Schizosaccharomyces pombe: one gene and its partners. The protein of the gene in region 1 purifies or fractionates together with the protein of each later gene. This does not show direct contact. Each region holds a gene or a part of one and is shown in the gene's direction. Other genes may lie near its edges.

What was found.
Region 2: the proteins of npr2 (region 1) and npr3 purify together in Schizosaccharomyces pombe (affinity purification with western blotting; one study listed by BioGRID). This does not show direct contact.
Region 3: the proteins of npr2 (region 1) and sea4 purify together in Schizosaccharomyces pombe (affinity purification with mass spectrometry, with the first as the bait; one study listed by BioGRID). This does not show direct contact.
Region 4: the proteins of npr2 (region 1) and lam2 purify together in Schizosaccharomyces pombe (affinity purification with western blotting; one study listed by BioGRID). This does not show direct contact.

Annotation. Positions count from the first base shown.
Region 1 is NC_003424.3:2,492,166-2,499,352, reverse strand, and holds npr2 (Npr2/3 complex subunit Npr2), read left to right. Parts: upstream 1-1,790; 5' UTR 1,791-1,926; coding exon 1,927-2,434; intron 2,435-2,477; coding exon 2,478-2,614; intron 2,615-2,655; coding exon 2,656-3,240; 3' UTR 3,241-3,509; downstream 3,510-7,187. Other genes in the region: RING finger-like protein Ini1, read left to right, coding at 4,035-4,044, 4,086-4,139, 4,211-4,457, 4,497-4,539; guanyl-nucleotide exchange factor Sec73, read right to left, coding at 5,242-7,187.
Region 2 is NC_003423.3:4,302,982-4,310,505, forward strand, and holds npr3 (Npr2/3 complex subunit Npr3), read left to right. Parts: upstream 1-2,879; 5' UTR 2,880-3,047; coding exon 3,048-4,111; intron 4,112-4,176; coding exon 4,177-4,870; 3' UTR 4,871-4,946; downstream 4,947-7,524. Other genes in the region: Ku domain protein Pku80 , read right to left, coding at 160-1,996, 2,037-2,103, 2,159-2,213, 2,258-2,386; bor1 (HC03 family inorganic anion exchanger), read right to left, coding at 5,075-5,398, 5,452-5,796, 5,835-6,270, 6,328-6,627, 6,695-6,843; ATP-dependent RNA helicase Dbp8, read right to left, coding at 7,258-7,524.
Region 3 is NC_003424.3:344,111-352,959, forward strand, and holds sea4 (GATOR2-SEACAT complex ubiquitin-protein ligase E3 subunit Sea4), read left to right. Parts: upstream 1-3,001; 5' UTR 3,002-3,084; coding exon 3,085-5,802; 3' UTR 5,803-6,041; downstream 6,042-8,849. Other genes in the region: RNA-binding protein Cip2, read right to left, coding at 1-1,019; efg1 (rRNA-processing protein), read right to left, coding at 1,729-1,941, 2,004-2,134, 2,197-2,329, 2,434-2,508; ARP2/3 actin-organizing complex actin-related protein subunit Arp3, read left to right, coding at 6,367-6,401, 6,465-6,488, 6,561-7,089, 7,185-7,784, 7,850-7,945; SPOM_SPAC630.04C (uncharacterized protein), read right to left, coding at 8,317-8,817.
Region 4 is NC_003423.3:3,101,436-3,109,734, reverse strand, and holds lam2 (guanyl-nucleotide exchange factor Lam2), read left to right. Parts: upstream 1-3,948; 5' UTR 3,949-4,015; coding exon 4,016-4,083; intron 4,084-4,204; coding exon 4,205-4,619; 3' UTR 4,620-4,883; coding exon of another isoform or gene 4,884-4,988; 3' UTR 4,989-5,034; coding exon of another isoform or gene 5,035-5,756; 3' UTR 5,757-5,802; coding exon of another isoform or gene 5,803-5,935; 3' UTR 5,936-5,986; coding exon of another isoform or gene 5,987-6,451; 3' UTR 6,452-6,833; downstream 6,834-8,299. Other genes in the region: fim1 (fimbrin), read left to right, coding at 994-1,227, 1,304-2,792, 2,847-2,968; Spo4-Spo6 kinase complex regulatory subunit Spo6, read right to left, coding at 4,884-4,988, 5,035-5,756, 5,803-5,935, 5,987-6,451; SPOM_SPBC1778.03C (NADH pyrophosphatase), read left to right, coding at 7,570-7,601, 7,782-8,299.

The DNA of each region.
Region 1 (7,187 bases):
TCAATTATATTTTTTGAACTTAAAGCTTCTACGCATAAATATAATATAAAGAAGCATGCAAAAATAAATAGCGTTAATGAAATAGGCAAACTGTCAATTCCAAGATTCTTTAGCAATTCCACAGTACGGAATTGTCCGATACAATATCCTTCAAAACATATTATCAAAAGGCATTCTAGTATAATTACTGTCAAAAAAAAAAATTGATGTTTTTGGAAGTGTCTTCAAGAATAATTTACATCGGCTAAAAGCTTCATAAGTTGTTTCTCTAAAATTTGTAACAGACTGTTCAATTCGATGTTTAAAATCCCAAAACATTCAATTTGGCCGGGTGTGGTAGTGCCTTTAATGTATAGTGCACTCGGATAAACACGTAAATATCACAAGCTAATGTATAAGCGATGACAATTACATAACAGTTTTATGAATTGCGATTTTAACAGAATTATTCAAGTTTTGTTTAAATGATTATTAGATATTGCAATAAAATATCTCGAGTATACTTAGCTAGAGCTGGATGACTCGTCAGTCTTTATCTCACTGAGGTACGTTATAATGATCAACTTGAAAGTGAAGCGTATCAAATTAAAAACAAAAAAAAAGCCATTAACGGAGGCCCTTCAAACTTCAAGCAACTAATTTTGTTAAGTTGTCAAGTTTATGAAAACTCTAAGGATATATTGCTTATAAAAAATAGGAAGGAGAAAACCAGGCAGAACCTGTTTATTTACAAAACGATATAGTAAGAATGAACTAAAGCTCATTAAAAGAAACCAAATATCCTAAAAATTAAACGCATCCGCTCTTTTCGCACTTTAATCTATTCGTTTTAAGCTAAACAACTCGAACAATTATCGAGCTTTCATGCACTTATGCCTAATTGAAGTTTCAATGATTTGACGTATTTTTCGTTGCTTTCTAACAGCGAAAAAATTCACTGGCTCAATCACAATTTTCCACTGTATCTCCTTAATTTATCTTTTATACAGTCAATATGGCTTGGTGCCTCATTATTTTAATTTTCTGTGGAAACTAGCGATTTATATCTTCAAATGTTTGAAAAGATAGGAAATCAATTATAGTAACAAAACAATTCTCTCTCTCTAGATTTATATATGGACAAATAATTGACTCAGTGAATGGATAAAAGGTTTTACAATTATCTAGCGGTTTTGTGATCTTTTTATTTAGGTTTAAGTTAAGCGAAAGCTTACGTTAAGAATTAAGCAGAAGTTGTAATAATACTGCTTTACACAAATTTAGTTTTAGTATTTGAATTCTAGCGTAAAAATAACACAAATACTTTTATTAAAACTTCCTGTTCAGTAAAAATTTGATTTATCCGACTGAAGTCTATTAACTATCGTTTCAAAGATTAACTATTTTTATATGATTACTGTGTATACTGGATATTACTAGCGCAGTTATCAAGCAAAAAGATTAAGAAAATCAAGTTTTATACTTTTTTAAAATCTTTTAACCCTAGAGGCTGCTAGCATCTGTTATCCATACGAAATAATCCTTAATGTTAATACAGATATGATTTTTATCACCTTATTAACATTAATGATGTAGCGAAATGTGGCTGTAGTCAGGAAGCTTTGACGTTAAGAATCAAATTTGTATAATTTACTGACCCAATGTACACAAGTGTTATATGACTTTCCATCTTACCGTTACATCAATGCAGAAATCTGAATATTGTTTGTAAATAATAAATTCATTAGCACAACTACTTTTCTGGGTAGCGTACAAAGATTTATATGGTTTTTGAAGTTAGTCCCCAAATCGACACTTGCACATAAGCTTTTGCATCCACCAGTAGGGGCATAACGAAATATTAAAATAAATATCTTACAAGTTTTAGCTTCATAAATTAAAGGTTAGATAAAAAACTCGGAAATTTTTAAATTCTTTAGCTTTCCTATGGAGTATTCTGAAGAGGGATGGATGGATCAAGCTGACAGCTTTCCGCCTCGTTTATTGGCAATATTTTTTGCATTATTTGATCCCTTACAAGGCCCTATAGTAGCTTGTGAAGCTCCTGCTGGATCGGTAACAAATGTTGATGGTGGAAAGAACTGTCTTTTACCATTCGAAACTATTTCTGACTATGTGATTCCGAAACGCGAACTTTGCAACAAAACAATTACTGTTTGTACTAATCATTATCAAGTCATTGGACATCCAATATCAATTATAGGTAGCAATTATGAGAGAAATGCTTTGATTTTCAACATGTGTATGATTTTTCATGAAGAAGAAGATTCAGCATGTTATATACCACTAGTAAAGCGACTAGCGAGAAATTTAGAGGTCTTAGAAAAGCAAATTCATTATATATCTGATTTGAACAAAAGACCTGTAATTTTCAGCGTAATTGAGCAAATTTTGGAGGACATGAACAACTTTTGTGAGTGTATGATACAGCTAGGTATGCGCAATTATTTCATTCGGACTTTAACTAACTTTCTAAGACGACCAAAATTCTATTAATATCAAGCTTTTTCCCGTTTTTCCTTCTCCTCCTACTGTTAAAAGTTTTCATGTACCAATTTTAACGGCTCAGTTGGATTTACTCATGGACAAAAATTGGGATATGACTGTTCAAAAGGTACTCTCTTCCAAAAAAATTAAAATTGACTAATTTTTTAGGTTTATCCTTTTATTAATGGCATAAACTCAGTTCAAAGGATTGCTGAATTAGCTAATGTTAGCTATAGAAGTTGTCAAAAATGCATGGAACACTTTCTATATTACGGTTGTCTAATTATAGCTGATATTTTTCAATTCCATAATATTTATGCTATGACTACTAATGCTCCTAACCTTTTACAAGACCCAGATTTTCAAAGAGAATGTACGGCATATGTATCAACTAACAGCTCTAATGCGAAAAACGTTACTTTTGCTACTATTTTCAAACTGTATTGTAGTTTAAGGCAAGGACTTCGTGTTAAGGATTGGATGAACGAGAACAAAGAAATTTTCAAAGGTTTAGACGTTCGAAGGCTAATCTCGTTCGGTACTATAAAAGGGCTAATATATCGTGTGCATAAATACCCATACTTAGAACGAAGGACTATGAGGAATAACTTAACCGAAGAAGAGAAAAAACTGCTTGGTTTGCTGGATGGAAAGCACCATTTTGATGAATTGTGTGTCACATTGAAAAAGTCTCCAAAGGTTGTTAATGAAATGATTGCTGGATTGGGTGATGCCTGTTTTATTTATGTATGAATAAAAAAAATAGTCTTGCGATTAGTCTTGTTATTTTTTCGGATGATCGGAGCTATAGTCGTTTTAATTTATCTTCATTGCGAGTTCTGCTGTCAATTTCAAAATTGTCAAGTATAGGATTGGAATACATTAGCATCATATTTATGACTATGAATAAATTTGAAGATATTATCAAAACACTGCAATTTACAATGGTTGATTATCTGTAAATTGGCCTGTTAGGGAAAACGATTGTAATTGTGCCTTTTGTTTATACGCTGAAACTTAAGAATCTAAATTTTGGTTATCGCGTACCTAATTAGAAGTATTTAACACTTTATTTTCGTCATTTATTTGTTTTACTACAAAGAATTATTTATTCTACAAGATTACCATGAAAATTGAATTTCATCAATACATCAGTAAACATCGACTACTGTATGTCCATTGATCATAAATTCATAAATGTTAATAGTAGATTTTATTTCTATTTTACTTTATTGTTCAAAAATTCCGTAAATATGGCGCAACAAAAAAAGATCCTCAGCTTAATGGAGAGTATATTTGGTACATACTTGCAAGCATTATTAATACGTTGTTTATAATAGCACTTCAACTGCTAACGCGCATTTTCCGACTTGTTTATGCCATTGCATGGCTGTATTGCAGCTTAACGTATCCATAATAGCGAGTACGAAATTTGAAATCAGAAGAGGATGTTTATATTTTACTAAGCATAACGTAACGCGAAGGACCGTCGTAAATTTACTATATATATCTGCTGCATTGAAATTAATCCTCTGAGTATATTCACAATGTCAAAGCGTATGGAAATAAAAATGAAATTAAATACTAACGTTTATTAGATCATCCTGATTTAGTATTATGCAGAAGACAACCAGGAATTACTGTTGGAAAGTGTAAGTGTAAAGTGTTCTATAATTTGGCATAGTTAAATAATTGGCAGATTCTAATACTCATGAATATACAGTATGTGAACGATGTGACGAAAAATGCCCTATTTGTGATTCTCATGTAAGGCCGACAACGTTGGTGAGAATATGTGATGAATGCGCGTTTGGTAGCTCACAAGACCGATGCATTATTTGTGGAGCTCCAGGTGTTTCTGATTGTTATTATTGTTCGGAATGCACACGTATGGAATATGATCGTGATGGTTGCCCTCGTGTTATAAATCTTGGTTCCAGTCGGACGGATTGGTTTTATGAACGGAAAAAGTAAGTTAACAATTTGCATCGCATACTCACCATTTTTAGGTTTAAAAATGCTGGAAAAGAAATGCCGGGTGCAACGTATTAATAGTACATCTAATGGTAGACTTGTTTCCTAATTCCACTAATTTCCGGTTATGGTATTTATATTATGTTTGGTGCTTTTTCATTATTTTCAATTTATAACTTACTATGCTATTGATTGTTTGCAGCATTATTTAATTTTTGGGTATTAATATACGAAAACAAAAAAATTTTTATAACTCGTATTCGCTGAAAAGCAAAGAAAAATAGTTTATACTCTTTTTCGTCTTTCTACATGCGGTGCAGAATTATTTCGAAATGTAGTACGACATTTATCAATGAACTAAAAATTGTTATTAGAAGTTAATTAGACTCATGTTTATTCATTATCCACCTATTCCTTTAGTCTTCTGTTTTGTGGATCATCTCATAATCCAAGTAGCTCGACGGATAAAATATATAATTAACATAAACGCTTAAATTTTTCCACATATTTAAGAATTGCCATAATACATCAAAATCGCTACCAAATGTTACGCTCTTCAATTAATGTTCTTAAAGCATCGTAACTACAGCAATGTGTACTTTCGAACGGCTAAGAGAGATAAAATTTATTATTATGGATTTAGAGATAATTAATAAATAAAGCGGGAATCCTTGTCTATACGCGGATATGAATTCAAATAAGAAAAATCAAAAAAAAAAAGAGAAATCACTTTAGATGAACAAATATTTAGATAATAGTAGTTAACATTTGATATACATGCTAATTATCAGAAGTAGCAGAATGCCATTTCGATAGGCTATTCATACTAAACTCATCATGTTCCTTATATGGATCCGTGCGAAAATCTTCTGATGAGTACAGGTTCAAAGCAAACCCGCTATCTGTATCGTCCGAAAATGTTTGCCATTGATCTAAACATGTAGTCACGGAACCTAAGCTAGCTGTGTCAGCTAATTCATCATCAAAGGCTTCAATTTGAAGCCTCAATTGGCTGGGTTTACCGGGCGAGCTTTCGCTTGTATCTTCAAAACCAAAAATATCTTCGACAGGCTCATCTTTAACATTGTCCGAGTAAACCTTTGGTGAAAGTATTTCAGGAGTAAAAAATGTCGATGAGGGGTTTTCGGGGTTGCCTTTCAAGTTGAAATTATTATCAGGATCCAAAAGATGCGGTACATCTCTATCTGATGATTCTTTTTCAACATCATGTGTTTGACGATTGATTGAGTTGATGCTCGGATTTTTTAGGGTGCTTGGGCTTGTCGAAGAAGGTCTGTCGTCGATGTCATTAGAACTTTCAAGAGAAATGCATTTATCTAAATCAGATTCAAACCGCAATACTTGCAATTGTGACTCCATTTTTCTGATTTCCAAATATAATGATTGCGCTTTAGCATCGACCTTTTTAAGGGCTTGTAAAATAACTACTCTTGTTTTCGGCTGTAGGGGTGCACATGTCGATAAATTTTTGGCATTTCTTTGTAATACCATGAGTTTCTTATTGAACTCAGTAATAGATGTTTCAAGTTGGTCAATACGTGTCTTAATTGTCCGGGCACGTGCAATTTCCATATCCTGTTTCATTTGAGCTTCAATTGCTGCTAATTCTTCCTCCATATACTTTGGATAGCAAGAAAAGTCTCTTTTAGGATGGTAAGAATCACTTACAGGCATTCGCAGACCAGCTGTACGAAGTGTTGAGATGTAGTTAATTTTAGCTACCCATTCTATCATGCTTTCTTCTGTTGGAGCACAAAGAGTCTCTTCAGATCCATCCCGAAATATGACGGTAAAAGAACAATTGCGTACATTCTTCTTATCTCTGTCACAATAGGCAAACGCATTAACAAGCGAATAACTGGTATCGGGGGAAAACTCTTCTAGAGGTGGAGTAAATACAAGCGGAGGAATTTTTGGAAATTCATATTCCATAGCCTCTGTATCTATACCTTGCAACGTGTCAAAACTGCTCGAGGTAGTTGTAAAATTTTTGTAACGCCTTTCATAAGCTTTCTTTTGAGCCATGAGATCTTTAGCCCATACCAAATTACGAAAAAAAAGTATTCTAGAAGCGGTCAACAAAACCAAATGCTCTTTGTATGAATTGTGCCCCACACTTCTTCGCTTCTTTTCACACCGTGGTAAAATGCCCAGCATACTGATACTAAAATCAACTAGTCCCGGGTCAGCATTGTCTGGTAATCCAATAAAATGATTGGAGAATGCCATTGGATGAGATCTTTTAGAAACAAGCTGAATTATCGCAGGGCTGGAAATCAACTTTCTAACGTTCAGCAAAGACGCAATATCTTTGATACCTGGAGATATGAATTTTCCATCATAAGAGAGAGATATTTCAGGCCGTGAAATATTCAATTGATTTTCTAACGTAAATGTGTAAGGAGAAAGCCCTAACCTTTTACGAGATGTGAAATTGTACTTTTCGTTCTTTTCCTTCTCAATGAGAAGCAACTCATCATCCAGGTTGACAAAAGGAGTAAAGGTAATATTGTCATAATAATACTCCATTATCTCCGGAGCTAATTCATCTATGTCACAGAGATTTATGAATTCCTGCTTCGTCATTTTATGCTTATTATTTGAATTAAAAACGTCAGTGTGGAGCATCATCAAAGAAAACACCAGAATGTAACACTGATCTTGGGAACTGAACATCCCAGGGTTACATTCAAAATAGCGCTTAG
Region 2 (7,524 bases), on another chromosome or scaffold:
TCTATTTTTGCGACCGTGTATTCTATATGCTAATAAATAGCGGATTCATGACTTAAAAATTTTTATTAGAAATTTGGATAAAAGTAAAAAAAATATTGCAAGTATTTAATAAAATTTATTTATTTATGTTCGAGTAAGACAAGTCATTGTTGTCCTATGCTAAATGTTATTAAAATTATCATGTCTAGTCAATTCATCATGGAGAATAATATCTAATCCAGATGATCTTATTTTGTTAATAAGCTCATTCTCCTTGGGTTTGTTATTTTGCATTACGTCCTTTTTCAATCGAGTAAGATACTCATTAAATCTTTCAACTTCGTCTTCCAAAATTGAGTGTAACCTGAGAGATTGCAATGACTGCAAAGCAAGATCGTACTTAGACTTGTCAATAAGATTTTTAATTACTTTTTCCATTTCTGTCAAAGCATCCTCTAGTCCAAAAGGGTTTTTCAAAACTTCAGTGAAAGTGCCTACTGGGTCTTTTTCACTAACGTGAAGGACTAATAATTTTTCTCCTTCCTGTTCATCGAGACCAGAATTTAGTAGTTCTTCTATTTGTTCCTCTGATATTGGGGCGCCTGTGTCGAAGGCTGTTTCTTGAGAAGAATATTTTGGTTTGACGGGGACGTTCACTGTAAGTTTTTCCTTAATCAACTTCAAGTCCAAAATGCAATTATCAAGTAAACTTTTTGGAGGATTGGTGTAACGTGTTAAGTAAATATTTGGTTGAGGAAGATCGCCTTCTGGTGAATTTGCATAATAACTGATAGCTTGTTGAAGTCTATGTGGTATCATACTAAAGGTATTTTCGGGCTCAAAAGGAGGATTGAACCCACAATCAGAGGAATCTAAATCCATATTATCGATATAATTACTTACGGCAAAATCAATTTGTCGCATATCCTCTTCATTTGACAGTTTCTCGAACTCTGAGAAAGAATAAGGCCGAACATCTTCAGCGAATGGAAGTTGTATATCAACCAAGTAATGTCTTTTAAACTCCACGTAAGGCATCAAGACCAGCAAAACTGGTACGCCCTTATCTTTAGAAACAAACCTTGCGAGCGCATATCGGTGTTCACGTTCAAGGGATTGAACAAAGGCAGAAAAATTTAATTTGCTTTCGAAGTCATCTTTTGGAACGATTATATTAGTATCACTAATGGTATAATAAATTGGAAGACTAGATTTAGGAATAAATCCAAGGATTTCATAACCGGGTATTGTATCTAAAGCCAATACGTCTTCATCTGATCGGCTGATCGGGACGATTGTCCTACCATAACTATAACCGCTTTCCAAGTCTTCTCTTTTAACCTCAAAAGAATCGTTTGTTTTTGGATCACGAACCATGTACGATCGAACAGTAGACACTGCATCAGATTCCATACTTTTGTTTTCCACATTTGAATTTTCGATATTAAGACATTCATAATTTTTAGACATATCGTTTTCATAAAAAGCAGATGATGTTGGCGGTTTAGTTAAACGAGTTCTAGGATATCTTTCAACCTGTATGCTTATAGACGTATCTTTGCTGTCTCTATTACCAATACTAAATGTACCTCTAAAGATTGCGACAGGTCTCACTTTACGAACCCAAGGTTTACCGATGTTGTTATAAATCTGTTGAAATGTGCAGTACTGACCATGACAACTCTCAACAAACTCTTGAATTCGAACTTCGTTTTCCTTTTTCTGAGATTCCTTTAAAGGCTCAGAATAATTAATATCTTCTTGATCAAAATCAACTCCATAAACACCTAGAAAAACATCATGCTGCAGTAGTTGTTCGGCAATTCCAATGTAATCACTAAAGTCGATAATCCCCCTAGCTGCCGTAAGCACTATCATCTTCTTCTTCCATTTGTTCTTTTTACAATGCCGAGCCATCAAATCAAAGGACACAACTATTGCAGATATCAGATCGCCTTGCATAGTATTGCTTGGTTTTAACGTTTGAGAAACGGATTGTAGCTTTGAAAATAAGGCACTAGTTAAGAAGTTAATGGAGCATTTAAGAGAAAGCTTACGTTTGTATAGGATACAAAACACTGATATTCCAATAGGCTTCCTGCTCAGCTAAATCATTTTTCGTATCTAAACACCGTAAAAGTTAGAAGTAGTGTACCTTTAAAACATTACAATAGAATACCATCGCATTTGTAACCAACGATTCCAACTACGTCTGTCTTCCTATTTGCTAAAAACTGAGTATGTGTCAATAGGGTGTCGATAATGTTGAGCAAAATACCTTATGAGACAATTCGTCGTGAAAATACGACAAAGTCCATTCGAGATCAGAATGAGACCTGCCATGGTGACAGGTCCCCATATCTTTGCCCAAGTCAAGTACAAAAACAGTACATTCCTTATCACTCATACGAATTGTTAAGGAATACAGATTTGGTGGAGGTCAAAGCAAGGTGAGATTTGTTGTAGAACATTGGGGCCTCCGATGCTTTCAACAGTTAGATATCAATTACACGGTCATTTTAAATGATTCAGGTATTTTCTTCGCGGTATGAATATACTACATTAACAGTAAGTCCAGCAGCATATGTGCAAATGCACATGTGACTGAAATGTAAATAACCCAAAACATTGTATATAAATTAGTCAATTCATTTTTATAACTTAAATCAGAAACTCTTGAGAATTGAATTGGAGCTATTAAAGTTGCTAAGGTTTTACGCACATTAGAAATTTTGCATAGCGATGCTTTTACTTTCAATTCACACATTAATTTACAAAGCCGTGAACTCATATCTCAAGATGTCAATAATTAGTTAACATTCAGTTTAACTATTCATGTTAGATCTTATTAGTTTTGTACTAGGCGATTAAAACACCGAGCTGCCAGATGCATATCGCTCACAAATCTTTCGTACTACACGCAAATTACCAGAAAACGATACCACCCCCTTGAGGTATAATGTTTAAGGTGATATTTGGTTTTCTGTTGTGAAAAATATATTAAAAAACACACATATGTACTTCAATTATCGAACATACACATTTATACTTTGTTTTAAAACGCCAAAATGGTACGCTTAACTCCTCGATTAGTAGCCATTTTCCTTGTTGAAAAAACAACATCAGGAGCTAATTTCGTCTTTCACTGGCCGCTACAACCTCAAGTACGTCTACAAGCCACTCATCATAATAATGATTCAGCGGAGTCTGCAATCGGGATGCTCGACCTTGATGACAGCGATGATGATGAGAATAATAGGTTTACTGAAGTAGCTGACGATACACATGTACTTGGTTATGAAAAAGGCTTTCTCGCAAATATGCTAAGTCCTCGTATTGAACTTTGCAATCAAAAATTTGAAATTTGGGTGGATGGTCTTACTTTTTTGGGATGTCCTGTTCATATTGGTCCGAACGGTGAGTGGGCTAAACGAAGGAAACCACGAACTACTGTTGAGTCTAATGCTTCTTCGAGCCATTTGGTATCAAAGCCCGAATCTTCACACCCTTCGACAGGAAGTTTTGAAGTAAAATCATCTTCATCAAAATCGAGATCTTCAATGTCTTTATTTCATGTCGTCTTTGTATTAAATGTGCCTACAGCTACCGTATATCGCCCTACTGTAAACACGATGTATGATCATATAGTAGTCAAGTTAGTTACTGGACTTAAATATGAACAAGCAAAACGGAATTATGTTGAAAATGAGTGTATACACATCTTAAAACTGACTGAAAAATATTCAAGCCAAAACGTCCCATTCGATGTGTATGCCGCTCAAATCCCTCATCACTCAAATCTTGCTTCGGTTCTTGCTACTACATATGAGGCTTTAATTAACATGCATACGGCTTATTTAGAGATAAATCAATCGATTAACTTAAGCTTACTCTGGCCTATGTCGGTTTCCACCAACACACTTGAAAATTACGAACTGCAGGTTAGACCATCAACTATTTTAGCATCTCAAACCATCTTCTCTGAAGAACATCCTTCCTCTATTGAACCTTTCGTTGCCCCCTATTGGACTTTGTTGCTCTTAAAGGATACAGACACTATAATGAAACGTGTTCCTCTTTTACAAAATTCTCTTCTTTCTTCTTTCATTGCCATAGTAAAACCTAACTTAACGTAAGTTTTGTCAAGTCTAAACAAAATTTATTATTGCTATTAAATACTAACTTACAATATTTCAGGTTCACAGATATCGCTAATCGTCTAGGAATATCAGTATCAGAATGCTTTATTCTAGCAAAACACCTTATTCATTGGAGAAAGGCTATCGCTATTCCTCCTTTGTTAATCCGGAATACTTATGTTACATCCCCAACTGCTAATCTGTTTAATTTGGAGGAGGAGTCAAAGCTTTTTAAAAAGGAATTTCCGAGCCTTCCCTCACTGTCAACATTTTTAGCTATTTTGTCGTTTAAACCGCGACCATTTGCCTCCATTATTCCATCGAAAGATCATGAGTTAGTTTATTTGGAAATGCTTGCTTGGCTGTGTCGAAGAAATTGGGTTTATGAACAGAATATCTATATGTATATTCTCGTTCCAGAAGAAATTAAGAAAAAAGCGATTGCACTAATAGAATCTGATGAGTCTTCTAAAAATGACATGCAGCTTAGAAAGCAACTTGAACAAGATAATGGCAAAGAGTCTATTATCATTGATCCGCACTCTGCCTCTTTGCTTGAACAGAAATGGATTCAAATTATAGCTTATGAGAGGGGACCAGAAATGGCTCCATTGTTTACGTCAATTGTCAAATATTTAAATGGTAGGTTTGCTTTACAAACTATATGGGTTGCCGAAGGCTTACCAAGGAAACTAATGCGAAATATTCTTAATGAGTATAATGATTACATCCTTCGATGGCATTCTTGGTGAAACTACGAAAGTATAGCTTGGACTAGCTTATTAATATTTAATCAAAATTTAACACACCAAATATATTACCATTGTACGATATTAGTAAATTAATTATTAGAAAACGTCTTTGAAATCAAGTCATGACAAATACCTAATTATACAACCTATTCCATCAAGCTTTTTTTATATTTTATAGAAGACCCCATCTTTAAAAAAAGTAGATTATACTTTTTGATAAGCAATAATTCCCACATTTTCGTCTAAAATTTCAAGATCTTCTTCAAGGAACCATTTAGGCATACAATAAGTCCTAAATGGAATCAGTAATAAAATAATAATAGGGAAACCAATGGATGCTTTATCAACCTGAGTAATTGCAAAGGTAGCACCAAAACCTATTAATTGCAAAATAGTGTATAACCAAACTACGCGTTTTGAGCTACAGTGGTTTAAAGTATGGTTTTTAGATACCACCTTTCTGTCACTTAACATCCAGATTACGTTTTGAGTGATACCGTTGCCAAATATTGCTGAAAACCCCATCACCTAAAATTCAGTTAGCAAAATATAATCTTCCCTTCAAAAAAAAAAAAAAATACCCAAAATAATCCTGCTAAAACACATTGAGGAATTTGATGTAACACCAGTAAAAGTGGACCAGTCATGGTGCCAACAGTCATCAATCCCTGAATGAAATTACTAGCTCGTTGTTCAACAACTCGATCTATAACTTCTTTATGCGTTTTTTCAATTTCGTCTTCATCATAATCAACCCTTTTAACACAAAGTGCTGCAGTATGCATGGGAGCCTGTGGAATAAGCCCATTTGGAGCAGGAATACCTAAAATACCACTCACTCCAGTCGTTATACCAAGAAGAAAAAAATCCCAATGAAATCCAGCAGGTTTGGTTAATGGAAACGAAGGATCTTGTGCCATTACAGACTACTAATGTTAAAAAAAGGAAATTAAACAATACATACAGAAACGTTATGATCAAAATAGAATAGGATAGTGAGAACAATAGAAAAAGGAATTGCCAGGAAAACATCCCCAACGGGTATTTTCCAAAATTTTATAAACCAGCTTCTAGATAACGTGGGTTCAAAAGCTTTTGTTGTAGGAAGTTTCGCTAAAGAAACTTCCCGCATTTTCCCAATGTGCTGAAACCCACTGAAAAAAATGATGGATGCAACAAGTCCGTAATCAAGAAGTAGAATACGTACTTTGTAACTGAATAAAGAAGATTTTCCTACTGTATCACAAAGCCATCCCACCATTAAAAATAATAAAGCAATAGTAATTGACAGAAATGTATTTGTAAGCCCATACTTTAATTGGTCACAAAGAACTTGAACGCCTTTTTCCAAATAAATAAACGCAACATATAGGCCAAAAATTTCACAGCTGAATTTTGTGCTACAGTTTTCAATTAGCTGGATATCACAAGAACATAAAAGCAAAAAGCGAACTTACATATGCTTTACAAAATAAACCCCATTTGCTATAGCAATGATGAAGTGAAAAATCATTGACCAAAGACAAATCCAGCAAAGGAAAGGGAAATATGGTGTTCCTCTATCATGCATTATATCGTAAACAGTATAATTAAAGACTGTAATAGGCCCTGTAACCCCGACGATGCACAAAGGCTGCGAAGAAAGCAACGCGAAAACAACTGAACCTAAAACGCTGGCAAGTAAAACCTCATTCACCCCAAAACTGTTATTTGTTTTTGCAAACATATCTAAGGCAAATGCTAATTCTGGGAGTAAGCTAGCAAGTTTAGAAAAAGCACGATAAAATGTCAATTGTGATAAATGTATATTTGAAACGCACATACTTTGAAAAATAAATATTTAAACAAGCAGGAAGTACTCGATAATGACATGCATCAATCCAGTCAGATTTGTAATAAGGTAATCGCTTTTTTACATCATTAACAATCTCTGACCCAAAAATGTAATTAAACTTCTTATCCTTTTTATTCATATGATTAGAGATTATTTAAAAGAAAGAAACGAATTGGGTATGGCAGATTTGCTTTTATAATGTTGGTTAGTTATATCATAAAGGCCATTGGGTTCTAATATACCGTGGTATCCACAAATTACGGTAACGGTCTAGGAAGATTGATGCTTTGTAAACAATTACCTGTACTTAAGAATATTTAGAATCAAAATTAATAGGGAGAAATATTAGTCCATAAAAAATATTTTTCCACAATGTCGCAATGTCCACATTCTTTGCATTCTTGTTATAAAATCTATTTCATCGTCACATTTGATAGTTAATGTGGTCAATAAAACCGCAACCTCCTTTAAGTAAACAAAATTTAAATATTATTATCCGTATATATATATACCTTAAACCACTAAAACAACCTTGAACTTCAAAACTTTTATACTACTTTTCCGTAGATAAAGTATTCTTCGCTTTCTTTTTGCGTCCAGAATTTTTTAATTTATTAGAAATACCATTGGCCATCAGCCTTTTCTCGTTTCGCTTCTGTCTCCTTTCACCAAATCCCCTATCGATCATCTCAAGAGAAGCCTGGCGTTTAGCGTCCGTAACTTCCTTGATGTATTCAAGCATCTTATTCTCTGACACGTGTTCATATTCAGAAAGCTTAGTTCCTACTCGATCCTCAATAGCATGGACTAAATCAACATC
Region 3 (8,849 bases), 2.2 Mb from region 1:
AACGGAGATTTCAATTGATTTTTTCGTTCTTCTACAGCGCGTTTCTCTTGTTTACCACGCTCAACACGTTCACGCTCCGCAGGCGGTAGTTGACGCTTCCATTCAACACGAAGACGACGACCAGTAATTTCATAGCCATTCAAAACTTGCACAACCGTTTTGGCTTCCTCTGGAGAATGGAAATTAGCAAAGGCAAGGCCCCTAAAAACTCCGTTATCAAAATGATAATTAAAAGCGTATGGACGTGGGATGTCTAATGCAGTGAACACTTTAAACAACACTTCTTTCTTCAAGGAGAATGGAATATTTTTAATAACAATCGCGGTAGGAATGGTCTCTTCATCAGGTTCAGGGGGTGCCGTCAAAGTTACAGAGTTGCTCATACCTCTAGACAGAGCAGTGCTAGAAGCTGAGTTTGGTACATGTGAATGGGATGGTTCGTTGAATGCATTTAAACTATCAAAAGGGTATGTTGTTGAGGAAAGTAATGAGGTAGTAGCAGGTCCAGAATTTTTGAGTACATCTAAAGCACTTGCAGACCGGAGAGAAAGGCCTGCTGAATTAGTTGCTTCTTTCCAAGCAGTTTGAAGACGAGTTCGACGAGGCTTTGCAGATGGATTATTGGCAGTTGAAATTTCAGGATCCAGCATTTGTTTAAGGGAACTTGGTAAAACCGTAGAAGAACCATCACCCAAACCATCATCTGCATTGTTGTGGGAAAATATGCCAGACCCTCCCATTCCAGCACTGTTAACGGCTGCATCAGAAAACGTAAACTTATCACGACCATATCGGTTCTCGAGATATCCTGATCCTCCAGGAATATTAAGACCTCTCATTTCTTCATCTTGAGCTCCATTTAATTCATCTAATTTGGGGAAAAAGTTGGACCGTTTTCTACGCAGAGATGCAGCCTCAGAATGGAAAGTTAAAGGGGAAGAAGCAGGAGAAAGAGTATTAGTTGACAAAAATGCCTGCGACAAAGGCGTTAATGGCCTTTGGCTTGTGCCCTCAGCCATATCGACACTAAACAAGTCGTAACTTCGTGTGGTGCGGAGGTTAGGTATCCGTGGACACCACCAAGGGCGCAAAGTCAATATACTACACCATATTATTGAGGTCTTAAACCCATAAATTCAAATATACCAATCTATAGAAGCAAATGTAAAAATAATTATTATAAAATGTATATACTACATACTGGTGTTGATTTTTAAACCCCCACTAGGTAACTTTTTGCCAGGCAAATAACAGGGTACTGTGATGATAAAACCGAAAGTCCATCTAAGAGCTCTTAAAAACACTGCTGCAATGATAAAGACTATTAAACTGTCTAATAATTCGACCACCTAAAACAGAACAAAATGAAAGTCCTAATTTTTTGTTTTTACTTAAATTCTTGTAAATTTATATTTTTATTAATTTGATATTCCATGAAATATCATTCGAATTTTAGCATATTAGATTATAGAATGAAATATGTGAAAAATATCTTCAGTGAACCTTAGGATCCAAAAGCTTCTCTCCCACAAGTTCTATTTTTGGTACCCTAGCAAATCCCATTGCAATATGACATAGAAAAAATTTAAATAAACTTGCATAAAAAGAATACCTTGCTCGATAACTCATATGGAAACTTCACAACCTTTATTAAAAAGAATGAATCATATTATTACAGTTTCGTCTATTTAATCCCTTTATTTCCAAAACCTCAATCCAAGTTTTCATTTATCTTTGCAAAAATTCATCTTCCAAATCACCACCAGTTGAACTTTTTTCCTGTACAGGAACCCTGTTGGAACCTGAAGATGGTATTTTGTGTTTTCTGCCACTATTAAAGCGTTCTTCCATCTCGGCCCAAATGCGATTTCGAGTTTCTTCGGTCTGTTCAGATGTGCCTTCTGCGTAGAGTGAAACATACTTTGTTAAAGGGGGGTATTCCTAAATAGGTTAGTATCTTAGCCAAGTTGATAGTTGAAATGAAGTCGAAAATACAAACATACTTTAATATACATAAGATCAATTTGACATTTACGCATCGATTTCTCACACTGCTTGCGTTTCTCATCATCCATAGTTTCATCCTTCAAAGATTTTTCCAATTGTTTAATACGTCGTTCTGCTTTTTTACGTTCTGAGAAAATCAGTAAGCAAGTTCACTGAACAAAAAATGCTGTTTTTATATATGTTTCATACCAAAAAATCGAACTTTTTTGTATCTTTCAAAAATCTTTTGCTTTTTATGCTCTAACTGTGCCATAGACAACTGCTCTTGTAGACCCAAAAGAGCTCGTTCATGTTCAACACGAATGTTTGCAGGCAAATTCTCCTTAAAGGAAGTTAGTTTTCTTATTCATTAACATAAAAAGGAAGGTAATATTTATTACACACTGAAACCGCAGATGTTTTTAAACCAGCAAAAAAATTACACACCTTTTTCAATAATCTCTCATTGTCGCGAATTTTTTTCTTCAGCACAGAAAGTCCAGGGCCCTTAAATTTTGGCATGCTAAAACGCTCAATAAAATAGATAAATAGAAATTCAAACCATAAACAATTAGTTCTGGTGAAGAACAGTAGTAAACTTAAAGGACTGCAATTTTTACAGCTGCTAGGTTCTCAAGTGACACGTTACTTTTATATATAAGTTTAAGCTGGTAATTATGATTAAAATATTTGATTCACTCACACTTATTCAAGGTAGATTTATATGTTGTACTTGTGGAGTGATTTAAAAGCTTAGACTTTCAACAGTACATCAAAGAATCGCTTGTTCGACACCGAAGTCACCCTAGAGATTAAAAAGTATGCAAAAGATAGTTAATCTAGCAACCGGTCTGTATTTTAATACTACTATTGTTAAGAGAATCATCAATAGCAAAAAGAAAACCTTTGAATTTGACAGCCTCTTTTCAGTCCGTTGTTAAGGCATTTCTGTTAGCTATCGTTAAGCAAATTAGTGCTAAACGTTATGTTTGACGAGTGGTTGAGATTGAAGAACGCTTCGATCAAGCTCTGTTTAATGTTTATGCAGTATTTTGGGCGTTTCTGGTAAAGCCTAATTGTCAAATTTCTCTTTAGAGAATGTTAAATAGAAGTAAAAAGAGGAATGGCTGTTATTTTTGGGTTAACGGCTCCTCAGATGAGATTCGATATGTCGCCGTCAAAGCTTCCCCTAAAGTAAATTGGAAAACTCACATTATTTGGAGATCATTGAAAAATGTTAAATGTATAGACTCTTTTCACGGAAACAATGAAATATTGGGTGCTGGTTCTTCTACCGGAAATATATCATTGCTTTCTGTTAAGCATCCAGAATTTCAAGCAGTAGTAACACCTGGATATGCTCGCCCTTGCAATAGTTTGGCATTTTCTGAAACTGAACATCTTGTTGCTGGATTTGCAAAATCTCGAAACGAGTCTTCCTTGAAGTTATGGGACTTGAATTCATTACTGTCTGACCCGAAGAGTAGTCCCTTAATGCAGTCTTCTACTCTAGACGGAGTTTCTTCCGTTTGTTATAAGAAAGACACTCCTCTTTTGCTTACCGGATCAACTTCGCGTTCTGTCCATATAATTGATACTAGGCAGCAACTAGACTCAGTTTCTTCCGTCAATACGCAATATTATAGTAATATAGTTGTTGATCCATTTTCTCCTAACTATTTTGCCGCAAATTCTTATGATGGTGACATTGCGATTTTTGATACTCGATACTTCAAATCCGATAATTATTTACAAATTATTTTACGGAACGAAAATAAAAAGCCCAAAAATCCACAATTATTTGCACTGAAATATTCTGAATGGAAACCTGGACAATTGGCTGTTTTGTCAAACAATTCGATTACACTTCGTCAATTATTGCCTTGTGTCAATGGAAATGAAGGATCCGCAAATAATTCTGTCTTTGTAAATTATGAGAAGAAATATCCTGTTAAACCAAATTCACAATGTTCTGGCATTGATTTTTTTACTCCTTCTACAGCCTTTCCAACTCATGTTCAAATTTTGGGTGTCATAAACGAACAACCGAAACTTTTTTCTGTCCATGATGAGGTCATTCCCTTTTCATTTAACCCTTATAATGATTTGATATTTTCCTTCAAAGAAAAACTGTATCCTTTAAACTCTTCACCATTTAACACACTTTCTGATGTCCCACAATTTGATGTCAGCGAATTTGTCGATGAAAACTCTTTCGATTCCTCGTCTTCTTGTTCCTCCAAAGTCTTTCTAACGACAAGAAACAACTCAATCAATTCAGAGGATTCCGCTCATGAAGTATTGCTTTCCTATAACCGCGTCCTTGGATCTGATATTCAAGGGACAATACTAGATCGCGTCAAAAAGGGCTACCAATTTGATTCCCAAAAAAACTCAGAATTAGTTTCTGATTTATACTTAAAAGATCTATGGTCTTGGATTCACTTAAGCCATAGACAATCAGAAGAATCACTGTTTGGAGACACAGGAGATACAGATTTCAGCTATCAAGGTGCACTAGGTATTTGGTTTATGGATACTGAATTGACTAGCATGTCCGATGTTTTTGAAGCAAAAGAAAGCAAATTTTTAGAAAAAAAAATTTTAAGACTTGCTAGAGATGTTATTGAGAGACTTGATTTAGATATATTTACGTCTATCCAAACTAAAAGGCCTTTACGCCAACTCGCTTTACTTGCCTGTGGATTAGGAATGTCAAATGATGACTTGTTGTTGGAAATTAGAAGACTGATTCGCAAGAATGAGCATGTAAAAGCCGCTGGGTTAGCACTTTTCCACGGAAAAATTGAAAACGTAGTCCGTATATTATCAAGTGGGAATGAGCTGGAGAAGACCATATCCACAGCAGTTGCCGGATACATTACATCGCAAGGCTTAAGTAACTTTGGAAGTGACTCATTGTGGAAAGAAATGTCTCGTAACTTAAGTACAGAATTGGAAGATCCATACTTACGTGCAATATTTGCGTATGTTTCCAACTCCGATTGGAGAGATGTATTAGATGAAGTTTCTCTCTCATTAAAAGATCGTCTTGGAATTGCTCTTCGCTTTTTACCAGATGACGATTTGAGTAATTATTTGTGCGATTTATGTCACACTACAGTGCAATCAGGCGACCCAGAAGGCCTGTTACTTACAGGTTTAACTCCTTTGGGAATGGAACTTCTGCAGAACTACATTGATCATACAAGCGATGTTCAAACTGCTGCATTGATTGCTGCATTTGTGGTACCTAAGAAATTTCTGGATAAACGTGCAGAGGATTGGACTGAAAGTTATAGAGAGCTTCTAAACCGCTGGAAACTTTACCGTGAGCGTGCAAAGTTTGATATCTTTCGGACAGAACTCTCAAAAAATCACACAGGAGAAATAACCAGAAAGGCTACAGAGCCATCTATACGCATTATCTGCAATTTTTGTAGAAAACCAATTTTTCCTTTCTCCAATAGGAATGAATGTAATAATTTACCAACGCCAATTCAACGAGGTGTCAGTAAAGCAGGCCCAGCAAAACACTTGGGAAAAAGTTGTCCTCATTGCGGACAGCCTCTTCCAAAGTGCTCTGTATGTGGGTTTTCTTTAGGAGATGAAGATGTTCCTCAGAAAGATGACTTTTCTCAAAAACCTCAAAACTATGTCAAAGAAGTTAATCTTCAGAAATCTAGATTTGGGTTATGGTTTAGCTTTTGTCTAAATTGTGGCCATGGAGCTCACGCATCTCATGCTTCAGAATGGTTTTCAACTCATACAATATGTCCGGTTCCTAACTGTGATTGTGAATGCAAACTGAAATAGAAATTGCAAATGAGAGCATTAATTAATAGCATTAAAATAACAGTTTATGGTTTGGTTCACAAGTAATAATTGCTACATGAGTGAATATAAAATCCATGATTACAGCTTAAAAATGTTTAAGGCTAAGAGGTTTAAAGCATAAGGTCTTTAATACTATGATTTGTTTAAAAATTCGACATAGCTATCTACATTTGTAATTGTTTGATAATACCAACGTGGTTAGTTTTATTACTGAAAAGGGATTAACGCAAGATCGTTAATATTTAATTTTCTAGTAGCAAGAAGCGTCTTCTAGCTTAGCAACTTGGTAATTTTAACCGGTGGTACTGGTATTGAAGAAATACATATTTAATTTTTTGTGTAAATTAATTTGGCCTTAGTAAAGATATCCAAAGTGGGTTGTATACGGGCATTCGCATTTAACGTAATCGGCTCATCTCGTAAATTACCATATGTTTCCCGTTAACCCACGTAATTCGACATCGGTGACCGTTGCGAGACGATATTAAGAGTTTCAACTGGAACCAACTTCTCTTTCGCTTACCTTTTCATAAAATAATAGCAATGGCTTCGTTTAATGTTCCCATTATAATGGACAAGTAAGTATTGATGTAGCGAAGTTAAATTGTTCGTGAATATCAGTTACTAACTTTATTTGTTAGCGGTACCGGCTATAGCAAGCTTGGGTATGTGTAATAGTCGTTTTAGGATGTTATTATCTCTCTTTTGAGCATTTATTAACAGTAATTTAATTTCAGCTATGCTGGGAACGATGCTCCTTCTTATGTATTCCCCACTGTTATTGCGACGCGTTCTGCGGGTGCTTCTTCAGGGCCGGCTGTTTCATCAAAGCCTTCTTACATGGCCTCGAAAGGCAGTGGGCATCTCTCAAGCAAAAGGGCAACTGAGGACTTGGACTTTTTTATTGGAAACGATGCATTGAAAAAGGCGTCTGCTGGATATTCTTTGGACTATCCTATCCGTCATGGACAAATAGAAAATTGGGACCATATGGAGCGTTTTTGGCAACAGTCTCTCTTTAAATATTTACGTTGTGAACCAGAGGACCATTATTTTCTTTTGACCGAACCTCCTTTGAATCCACCTGAAAACCGTGAAAATACTGCAGAGATTATGTTTGAGTCGTTCAACTGTGCAGGACTCTACATTGCTGTTCAAGCGGTTTTGGCTCTTGCCGCCTCTTGGACATCTTCAAAAGTTACTGATCGTTCGTTGACCGGTACTGTTGTTGACTCTGGTGATGGCGTTACTCATATTATTCCTGTTGTATGTATAAAAAATCTAATACGAGCTTAGATAAACAGTTTTGAACATTAAATGCATATATATATGCCCGAATTTTACTAACTGATAAACCTTAGGCCGAAGGATATGTTATCGGCTCTTCCATTAAGACAATGCCACTTGCTGGTCGTGATGTTACGTACTTTGTTCAATCCTTATTACGTGACCGCAATGAACCTGATTCAAGTCTCAAAACTGCTGAAAGAATTAAAGAGGAATGTTGCTACGTTTGTCCGGACATTGTTAAGGAGTTTAGTAGATTTGATCGTGAGCCCGACCGTTATTTAAAATATGCATCTGAATCAATTACTGGACACTCTACTACTATTGATGTAGGATTTGAACGCTTCCTCGCACCTGAAATATTTTTTAATCCTGAGATTGCTTCTTCCGATTTTTTGACCCCTCTTCCGGAACTTGTGGACAACGTCGTACAGAGCTCACCCATTGACGTTCGTAAAGGCCTTTATAAAAACATTGTCCTTTCTGGTGGTAGTACTTTGTTTAAGAACTTTGGCAACCGCTTACAAAGAGATCTCAAGCGGATTGTTGACGAGCGTATTCACCGCAGTGAAATGCTCTCCGGTGCTAAAAGTGGTGGTGTAGACGTTAATGTTATCTCCCATAAACGTCAACGAAATGCGGTTTGGTTTGGCGGCAGTTTACTAGCACAAACGGTATGTCATTATCTTATGTTTGTATATTTTTTAGTTTACCCGTAGAGATTTACTGACATGTTTAGCCTGAATTCGGATCCTATTGCCATACCAAAGCAGATTACGAAGAATATGGTGCTTCCATTGCTCGTAGGTACCAAATTTTTGGAAATTCTCTTTAATGAAATATATCATGAGTTTTGCGTCTATAGGATTTACTGATTAAAATGAAAAGTTTAATGGAGCAGGCATTAGCCTTAGAAGAAATAGACTTGAGGTTTGCTATGTTTCCAGGCTTTTTCATTGAGCAATATCAAATAAGATGTATATAATTAACTTGTCCAAATAATAATGATGAGAACCATGAGAATAATAATATAGTGATTACTAATAACGTAAAAGGAGAAAAAAAAAGAAAACGGATGAAACCGATGGGTTCCGCCTGATAAATACTTTATTATTCAAGAACGATGGATAAAATGGAAAGTGTACAAGTACTCAACGAATTTGTTGAGAGAAAGCAGAAGCAATCAAGTAGTCATCATAAAAAAAACTAAACTTCATCATTTTGCGGAGCAGGTAATGATTCATAAGAAGGTGGGCGTTCAATTGCACCGGCAACAGATGGAACGTCGCCGACAAATTCACCATTTTCATCAAATATTGCGGGCGGGGGAGGTGTGCTTGTGGTGGGTAAAGTTTTCAAGTACTGCTGGTTAAGAGCAGTAATAGGTTCATAAAGAGGGAGGCAATCAGTCTGTCGAACATGATGTTCGAATTGTTGTGATGCTCCGGAAGAAGAGCGCTCTCTCCTGTGAATTGAGTGTTGTGTTCTCTGCTGTTCCCGTGCAGAAATTATGGTTCGACACGCTTTAATTCTTTCATGATGCAACATAAATATGACAAACACAACGCAGATTATCCCAAACGTTAATACCAACACTTTTCCCCAGAACTGGGAGTAAGGGTCATACGGGATATCTGAAGCATCTGATGTTGAAACCAATTGATCATTAGCCATCACAAGGTCTATGGCTGATATTTCTTCCCCCATTTTTGTTTGATTATAATTTTGAACGTGTAGTG
Region 4 (8,299 bases), on another chromosome or scaffold:
TTGAATCATCTCTGCTGAAAATCCCTGCAACGCGGTGCCTCTATGAAAATAGTGTTTGCCTTTTGCAAAAATCCCATAGGTTTTATTTGGATAGTTGTCAGACAATATTTTACAACAGCAGCCGCAAAGGAAATTCACCATGCTTCAACAATACCGGAACAGCTAATCTTCTGAAGCATCGTTATAGTAGTATTGTGAGTTTTGTAGATTATAAGAAAATAATATAAGAGAATCTTGGTGCACGCAGTAATATCATACAATATTTATATTGCAGCTTATAAACGAGACTGGAAATACACGTGAAAAGGTAGTCAGGTTAAAAGTTTAACCCTGTGACATCTGGCTAATCTTTTATCCTATTGCGCAGTTAAAAGCGGGAATTACTTCTTTTTCTTATATTGTATCAAAAATTGTTGGCTTCAGTGACCTAAACCCTTGAACAAAAGAAAAAAAACACGAATTTTCACGGCCGGAAAAACTTTCTGCAACGTTTTACAAAGGATCTACTATCATAGTAAGTAGAAATTTTGGCTTCTTGACATATAGTACTAAGTAATTTTCAAGTCGATGCATCAGTTGACTTCAATTGAAAGAGCTTGCTAGTTTGTGATGTTTATGGCATTTGAATTCGGTAATATCGCTAATTTGATATGGACTTACGTTTAGCTTTTTATTCTGTAAAAAAAATTAAAATTCAATGTAGTTGATATCCCAGCTATATATTCAATCTAAAGCTACAACGCAAGACATCGTCAAGTAGTAAATTACTTTTTACAATTGCAAATTAACTTTTAACAGATTGGCTAAGCAAACGTGTATTAACTCATTTAGCGAGCGGATCAAAGTTTTGCTCTACGCTTCTGTAAGTATGATGTATGTGCATCAACAACACGACGTTAATCCTTGTCACGTAGCAACTGCAAGCCACCCAAAGCACACATCGTGTGGTTTCGTTTACTATACATTTTTTGGTCAAATTTTACTTTTAAAGAAATGTTAGCTCTTAAACTTCAAAAGAAGTATCCGGAGCTCACTAATGAGGAAATTCTAACCTTAACCGACCAATTTAACAAACTTGATGTGGATGGAAAGGGATATTTAGATCAACCTACCACTATTAAAGCCTTTGAAGATTCAAAGAAGGGTTCTTACGATGAGGTCCGTGAAGCAATTCGTGAAGTTAACGTTGATTCGTCTGGACGTGTTGAACCCGAAGACTTTGTAGGAGTAAGTAATGTTTTCCGTAATTTTCACGATATGTGTCTCTATATCGCTTCATCAATTGGATTACTAATGCATATAGATTTTCAATGTTTTAAAAAAAGGTGTAGAAGGTACTGAAGTAAAAAAGGGTCGGATTACTATCAAAGGATCTTCCTCAAGTGTTTCTCATACCATTAATGAGGAAGAGCGAAGAGAATTTATCAAGCATATTAATTCCGTCTTAGCTGGAGACCCTGATGTTGGTTCCCGAGTCCCCATCAACACTGAAACCTTTGAGTTTTTCGATCAATGCAAAGATGGTTTAATCCTCTCAAAGTTAATTAATGACAGCGTTCCCGACACCATTGATGAGCGTGTACTCAATAAACAGAGAAATAACAAGCCTCTTGATAATTTCAAATGTATTGAAAATAACAATGTTGTTATTAACTCCGCAAAAGCTATGGGTGGTATCTCCATTACCAACATTGGTGCCGGCGATATTTTAGAAGGTCGTGAACATTTGATTCTTGGTCTTGTTTGGCAAATCATTCGCCGCGGTCTCCTTGGAAAGATTGATATTACTTTACATCCCGAGCTTTACCGCCTTCTCGAAGAGGATGAAACCCTTGACCAATTTCTCCGTCTCCCTCCTGAGAAAATTCTTCTCCGCTGGTTCAATTATCACTTAAAGGCTGCCAATTGGCCGCGTACTGTCTCTAACTTCTCAAAAGATGTTTCAGATGGCGAGAATTATACTGTGCTGCTCAACCAATTAGCTCCCGAACTCTGTTCACGTGCTCCTCTTCAAACTACAGATGTTTTGCAGCGTGCTGAACAGGTTTTACAGAATGCTGAAAAATTGGATTGCCGCAAATATCTTACACCTACCGCTATGGTTGCAGGGAACCCTAAGCTTAACCTTGCCTTTGTTGCTCATCTCTTTAATACTCATCCAGGTTTGGAGCCTTTAAATGAAGAGGAAAAGCCGGAGATTGAACCATTTGATGCAGAAGGTGAGCGTGAGGCACGTGTTTTTACCTTGTGGTTGAACTCTCTTGATGTTACTCCATCCATTCATGACTTCTTCAATAATTTACGAGATGGCTTGATTTTGTTGCAAGCTTACGATAAAATCACACCTAATACCGTTAACTGGAAAAAGGTGAACAAGGCACCTGCATCTGGAGATGAAATGATGCGTTTCAAAGCTGTTGAAAACTGTAATTATGCAGTGGACCTTGGAAAAAATCAAGGTTTTTCTTTGGTAGGAATACAAGGTGCTGATATTACTGACGGTTCTCGTACACTCACCTTAGCATTGGTTTGGCAAATGATGCGTATGAACATTACCAAAACTCTACATAGTCTTAGCCGTGGAGGTAAAACTCTTTCAGATAGTGACATGGTTGCGTGGGCCAATTCTATGGCTGCTAAAGGTGGTAAAGGTTCTCAAATTCGTTCATTCCGTGATCCTTCTATTTCCACTGGTGTGTTCGTCTTAGACGTACTTCATGGAATTAAGAGCGAATATGTTGATTACAATCTTGTTACCGATGGTTCTACTGAAGAACTTGCTATTCAAAATGGTATGTATATATATTTGATATATTTTTAATTTTCATTACTAACACATCGTTTAGCTCGTCTTGCTATTTCTATCGCCAGAAAGTTGGGTGCCGTAATCTTTATTTTGCCAGAAGATATTGTGGCCGTTCGTCCTCGGTTGGTCCTTCATTTTATTGGCAGTTTAATGGCCGTATAATTTGTTTCGACTTAACTATAGCTTTTAACGAAACGATTTAACACATGTGTTTTTCCCAATTTAATTACTTATATTGCGAACAACTTCGGAAGTGAGTACGTCGCTTTTGACTCGCTATGTTATTAGTGGTATGTCATATTATAGATAACTTTGTGTTGTTTTATGATACATCTTAACCCGTTTTTGTCCCTTTAGTATTGGGTAATCCTTATCCTAATTAATGTTTGAGGAATTCTGAAGCTGCACGACGAAACGTAGTCATTTTTTCTCAAACTGTAGAAAATAGTTAGCTTTTTAATTTCATAATGAAGGGAAGATCATTTGTATATGTAACTAATGGTAAGTCTCTGTAGGCCCAAATAGTACGGACTGCATATGCAAATCAGCTTTCTAAATAAAGCATTCGTTGGGAGAACGTTGGTCTACCAAGCCCTAATTTTCAAACACAATAAAAAGAAATAAAAATGTATATATGTCGATTAACATTTTTTACTTTAATAAAATATTCGGAATCTTATAACAATATTATTTATTATCAGATTACTTAACATAATACACATTACGTCCACCGTATATTGTCCAACTATGTCAGCAATACTACACTACGCTATGCTACACTACGTTGCGTATCACTATATGTCATATGTTGGAATACTAGCTAAGATCCGTTTATTGATAATCACGGGTAACTATCCTTCTATATACATAGATACCCGTTGATAACAACTATTTAGAAATATTATAAATAGCGTTACAACTGAACCTCGTTCCTCAGTTCAGTTATGAGCTATATTAGTGATAGGTAACATTATAACCCAGTTAATACAATACCTATACTCAGTTGCTACTTATACAACCTGTGTATTGTAATATAATAGACCACAAGGAAAACTCACCGCAGTTCTACGTATCCTTAAATCAGATACCAAACTGCGTAGCTTACAAACTACTTATAACCACCATTCAAAACAGGTTAAATCGTTATTGCCGATTGGACTTTAAAATACATATTGCTACCTTTACTGCTATCTAAGTTTAAATTCGAAGATGATTAAGCCAAAGAAGTTGTCGTCGTTGATGAAACAGGCAGTTGAGGAAACTGTACCGTCTATCATGTAAGCATTTAGTGAATTTGAAGTTCATTCTTACTTCAAATCCAGTGGGTACACCTGTACTATTTTGGAGCTTAGATATATAAGTTTATTGTTGAAATATTCTGAGGTATTAACAAACTAGGGTTTTTACCACTACTGGCTCGCTGCTAGCTTATGTTTCTTTTGAAGATCCTAAAGATGGTTTAAAACGTCTGGATTTAGCTAAAAGGGTTAGATCTATTGCGGCTTTAGCAGGCAACATGTATTCACTTTATACTGCAACCAACCCTAGCCCTTTGGTCGCGGAGTCTACAGACGACGTGATTGCTCATCAAAGAGATGTACTTTTTGAAACAATAATTGAGTTTGAAAGGGGGAAATTATTAATAGCCGCCATTTCAATTGATGGGGCTGAAGATAAACTTTACTCCAAAGACCCATTATTATTAGGGATTGTTGGAACAGAAAACGCAAAGGAAGGAATGATGCAAATCAAATCTGAACTTTTGAAAGAGTGTATCACCAATGAGCTTTCCACGCTTGGAAAACCAGTCTAACTTATTTTAAATCTATTTTGATTTAAACTCGATAATGTTTGGAGCTTTACTTGCATTGTTTGTTACAATCATAGGCTTAAGCCTGACCTTGGTTTAAGAAAAGAATGCTACAACACATCATTATATTGTTAATTTTCTCTTCCCTTTTAGCAGATTATTTTGAATTTTTCATTTGGACAAAGGATATATTGATTTTACGGTTTATTTGAATGTTTGAACTTGCTTTCTGGAATTTTTGAGACATCCTTAAAACTTGAACTAACGTTAATTTGTCCGAATTGGGCGTCGGATTAGCAAAAACAAATCATCTAAACCCTGGAAATTTTCATCTTTCTCTGCAAATCTTCTATGATGTTTTCCGCCCAAATGCTATCGATGTGTTAGTGCTGTTTTTGCTATGATTGGTTTAACTTACCCTTTCCAAGTCCTTGTATCTCTCACAGCAGTTTTCACAATATCCTGATTTTGTTTCGATTTTCACCTTCTTGTGAGCTAGAGGATCTGCATCGAAGGCATTAGGTGGTTGTCGAGGACTTTGGTTAGCCAAGGTGTTTTGTTTGTTTATTAAACGAGGTTCAAGAAGGTTAAGTGGAGACATTGCGGCGCGTTTCTCTACCGGTAAGAGGTTTTCTGGCTTTGGAAACTCTGTCGGCATTTGTTTTGCACCATCAACTGCTGATTCTGTGATATTATAGTCCCCCATGATTTGACGCACCAACACACTCGCTGAATTTTTAACAACGTTATTTTGGTTAGTTTGATTAGTGCAACTTAAGAGCTGTTTTCTGATTTCGTGAGCTGGATGGTTATGTTTTGTGATTTTTAACTCCCTTCTTCTACCAGTATTAAATGGACATCTTCCTTGTGCGGTTATAGCAAGACTTGGCCATAAGATCTCTCCAGAATCCAATGTTTTCTCCCATTCTCGTACTGCAATTGGCTTATAGTATTGTGATAAATCTCTAATGCAGAGGAAGTATTCACGAAAGTACTCGACGTTTTTGCTTGGCACGTAAAAGTCTTTGTCTGATGTACCATACACTTTTTCACCGTCTAGGAGAGATTGCAAGCACGAAGCTGAGGTATTAACCAGGCTATCAGAGTTGAGTAATGTAAAGAGGATTCTGTTCAATAGTTCTAAGAAAGTTAGCGAAGGTTACACTGATATATTAAGAAGACTTACTGTCCAGGAGCCAAATTTTCATATTGGCAGTTTTCGAAAGGTAAAGTACATCATTCGGCTGGCACATTTCTGGGTCGGTAGTCCTGGTGGTAATGAAATGTGTAACTTCAAAAGTAAATAATGTTGCTACTTTCTATATATGTGTTAGTTTTGATCTGCGCAAGTTCTTGCATGAACTACTTACGGCTCCAAGATTATTAATCTTTTGCGTAACACGACGCTTGATTTCCTCATCAACGTTGTCAAAGTAAAATATAAAGTTGGGAAACGCCAATCGATAATCTCTTTGCCAGTAACGAAGTTTGGAAACTCGAATGCTGGTTCTTGGTATATCCTTGTTTCGCGTTAGGGAAGGTTTTACACAGTAGTTTGAAAAAGCAGTGGGTGGGAGAGCCATCTTTGCTGTGGCTTTAGCAGAGTCAAAGGCATTTTGATGAGGCATGTGCGTTTGTTGTTGAGGGTACCAGTCGGAGCATGAAGTTGCGCAAGCTGCAGTTTGACACAGTTCTTTGTCCGAAGTTTCTGTTTTATAGCTAAGAGGATTTTGAATATCTCTCTTTACTTCTTCGTTTATATTTTGTATACTGGGATTTTGGTCGACTAGAGGAGATCGAACAAACGGCTGAGACTTCACTGAATAGAAGTCCATACTCTTCCGGATTGACTCGGAAAGATTTTTAGGAAGAAGAAGTATGTATATATATTCCTTGGGAGGCTGATGAATTCACCTGTTGGTTAATCCTACTTATGTCTGGCTTTAATATTCAGCAATGGCCTCGGTAAGCAAGATGCAGGTTTTCCTCTAGAAGTAAAAAGATAAACCTATCTTTTTTTCTGTGGAAGTTTGGAGGAGTATCCTGGATATATATACAATTTGATTTTGTTTGTTTACTCAAATATTTTCTCATATTCACCTAGTATTGTTTGTAAACAAAAGCCTCGCCTCGCGTATTAAGCCAGTAAATTAAACGCGCGACACGTCGCGTTGCGTATCACATTCATACTAAATAAATAAGCTACTTTGGCTCCATTTGATAGTTTTGCTGGGTTCCTTTGTAAAAATTTTTTTAGTATTCATATGATTAGAAAATATATATTTACTTGATTCAAGCTTGTAAAATAAACATAGACCCAATTTTAAATAAATAGGTACCTAAAAGTCTAGGTAACATTGTTACACTGACACGTGAGAACTTTGTAGTTAATTAATCGTCAACATAACGAAAACAACTCAAAGCAATTCCCGTAACTGTCCATTTAGGAATTAACCAAAAAAACAAACAAACAAAATCTATTTTTATTCCAATGATACTTTTATGACTCACCAAGGCGTTAATAATTGCGAAAACACATACCAATATGTTTACAATTATTTTTTTAACGAAATTCGTTAAATACTTCATGGCATTTGAGAAGTTGTATGGCAATCGTATTTAACGGAGACTTTTTCATATTCAGTATCCCTTTTCATTTGGAACTTTAAGGTTTTCCCAGCTGAGAGTTCGTTTACATCATTTTATTAGATTTTTACTTGCAACTTGGGTTCGACTTTTAGTTCACTCATAAATTGTACCATTACCATTACGCTGGTGCATAAATAACCCTCCTTCTGGTCCTCTCTGTTCTTCATTTCCATCTTTCATTTTCTATTCTGCGTATTTTAACAGTTAAACAATTGTAGAATTTATTCGAGAGATTTGCAAAATTCTGTTTTAATAATTGGTTAGGTTTAATATTCTTTTCGTCTTTCAGAAATCAAGTTTAAGTATGCAGGGTTTCAAAATAGCTCGACATTTTGAGTAAGTAGTTAATTGTTAGTTCTATTTAAAGCTACTTCAAACTTGATAATTCATATCATCTGTTTTGCATGCTCATGGAACGTACCGCTCAACCCTTGCTAATACATGTGCAATGTAACACATAAAATCAATTTTTGATATAATAATCTTAAAAAAATGAGTTTTCTAACGTTTTTCAAGGCTTCCGACTGCCCCTTCTCAGTTCTTCGCAGGAAGCTCATTAAATAGGCTTTCGTTTCTTAGGTCTAATCGAGAATTTTTAAATAAAGCCTTTTATGATCATACCACTCGCTTTCTTCCTTTTTGTGACTTAAATCCGGCTCTACTCGTAAAGGACGATAAATTGGTCACTCTTTCATATCCTCAGATATCCAAATATTTCACGTTCTCCCCTTTTGAGCACACTGATAAACAAATTGCTGAACGATTTTCCAAAGGAGAAAGTTTACCTGTCCTTGTCTACATGGGCAACGAAGAAAGAAATGGACCAACAGATAATTGGAGTCAACACAACGTTTTTGCCATTGACATTACTGGCATCGATGAACTTCAGCAATCGATACGAGACAATGGAGGTACTTTCGTTAATCTTCGCTCTATCTTCACCGAACAATATCAATTGAGCGCATCGGATTCTGGTGCTTGTGCTTTTGCACGCTCTATTCTTGACTGGATTTCAAGGTACAGATTTTGCCCGG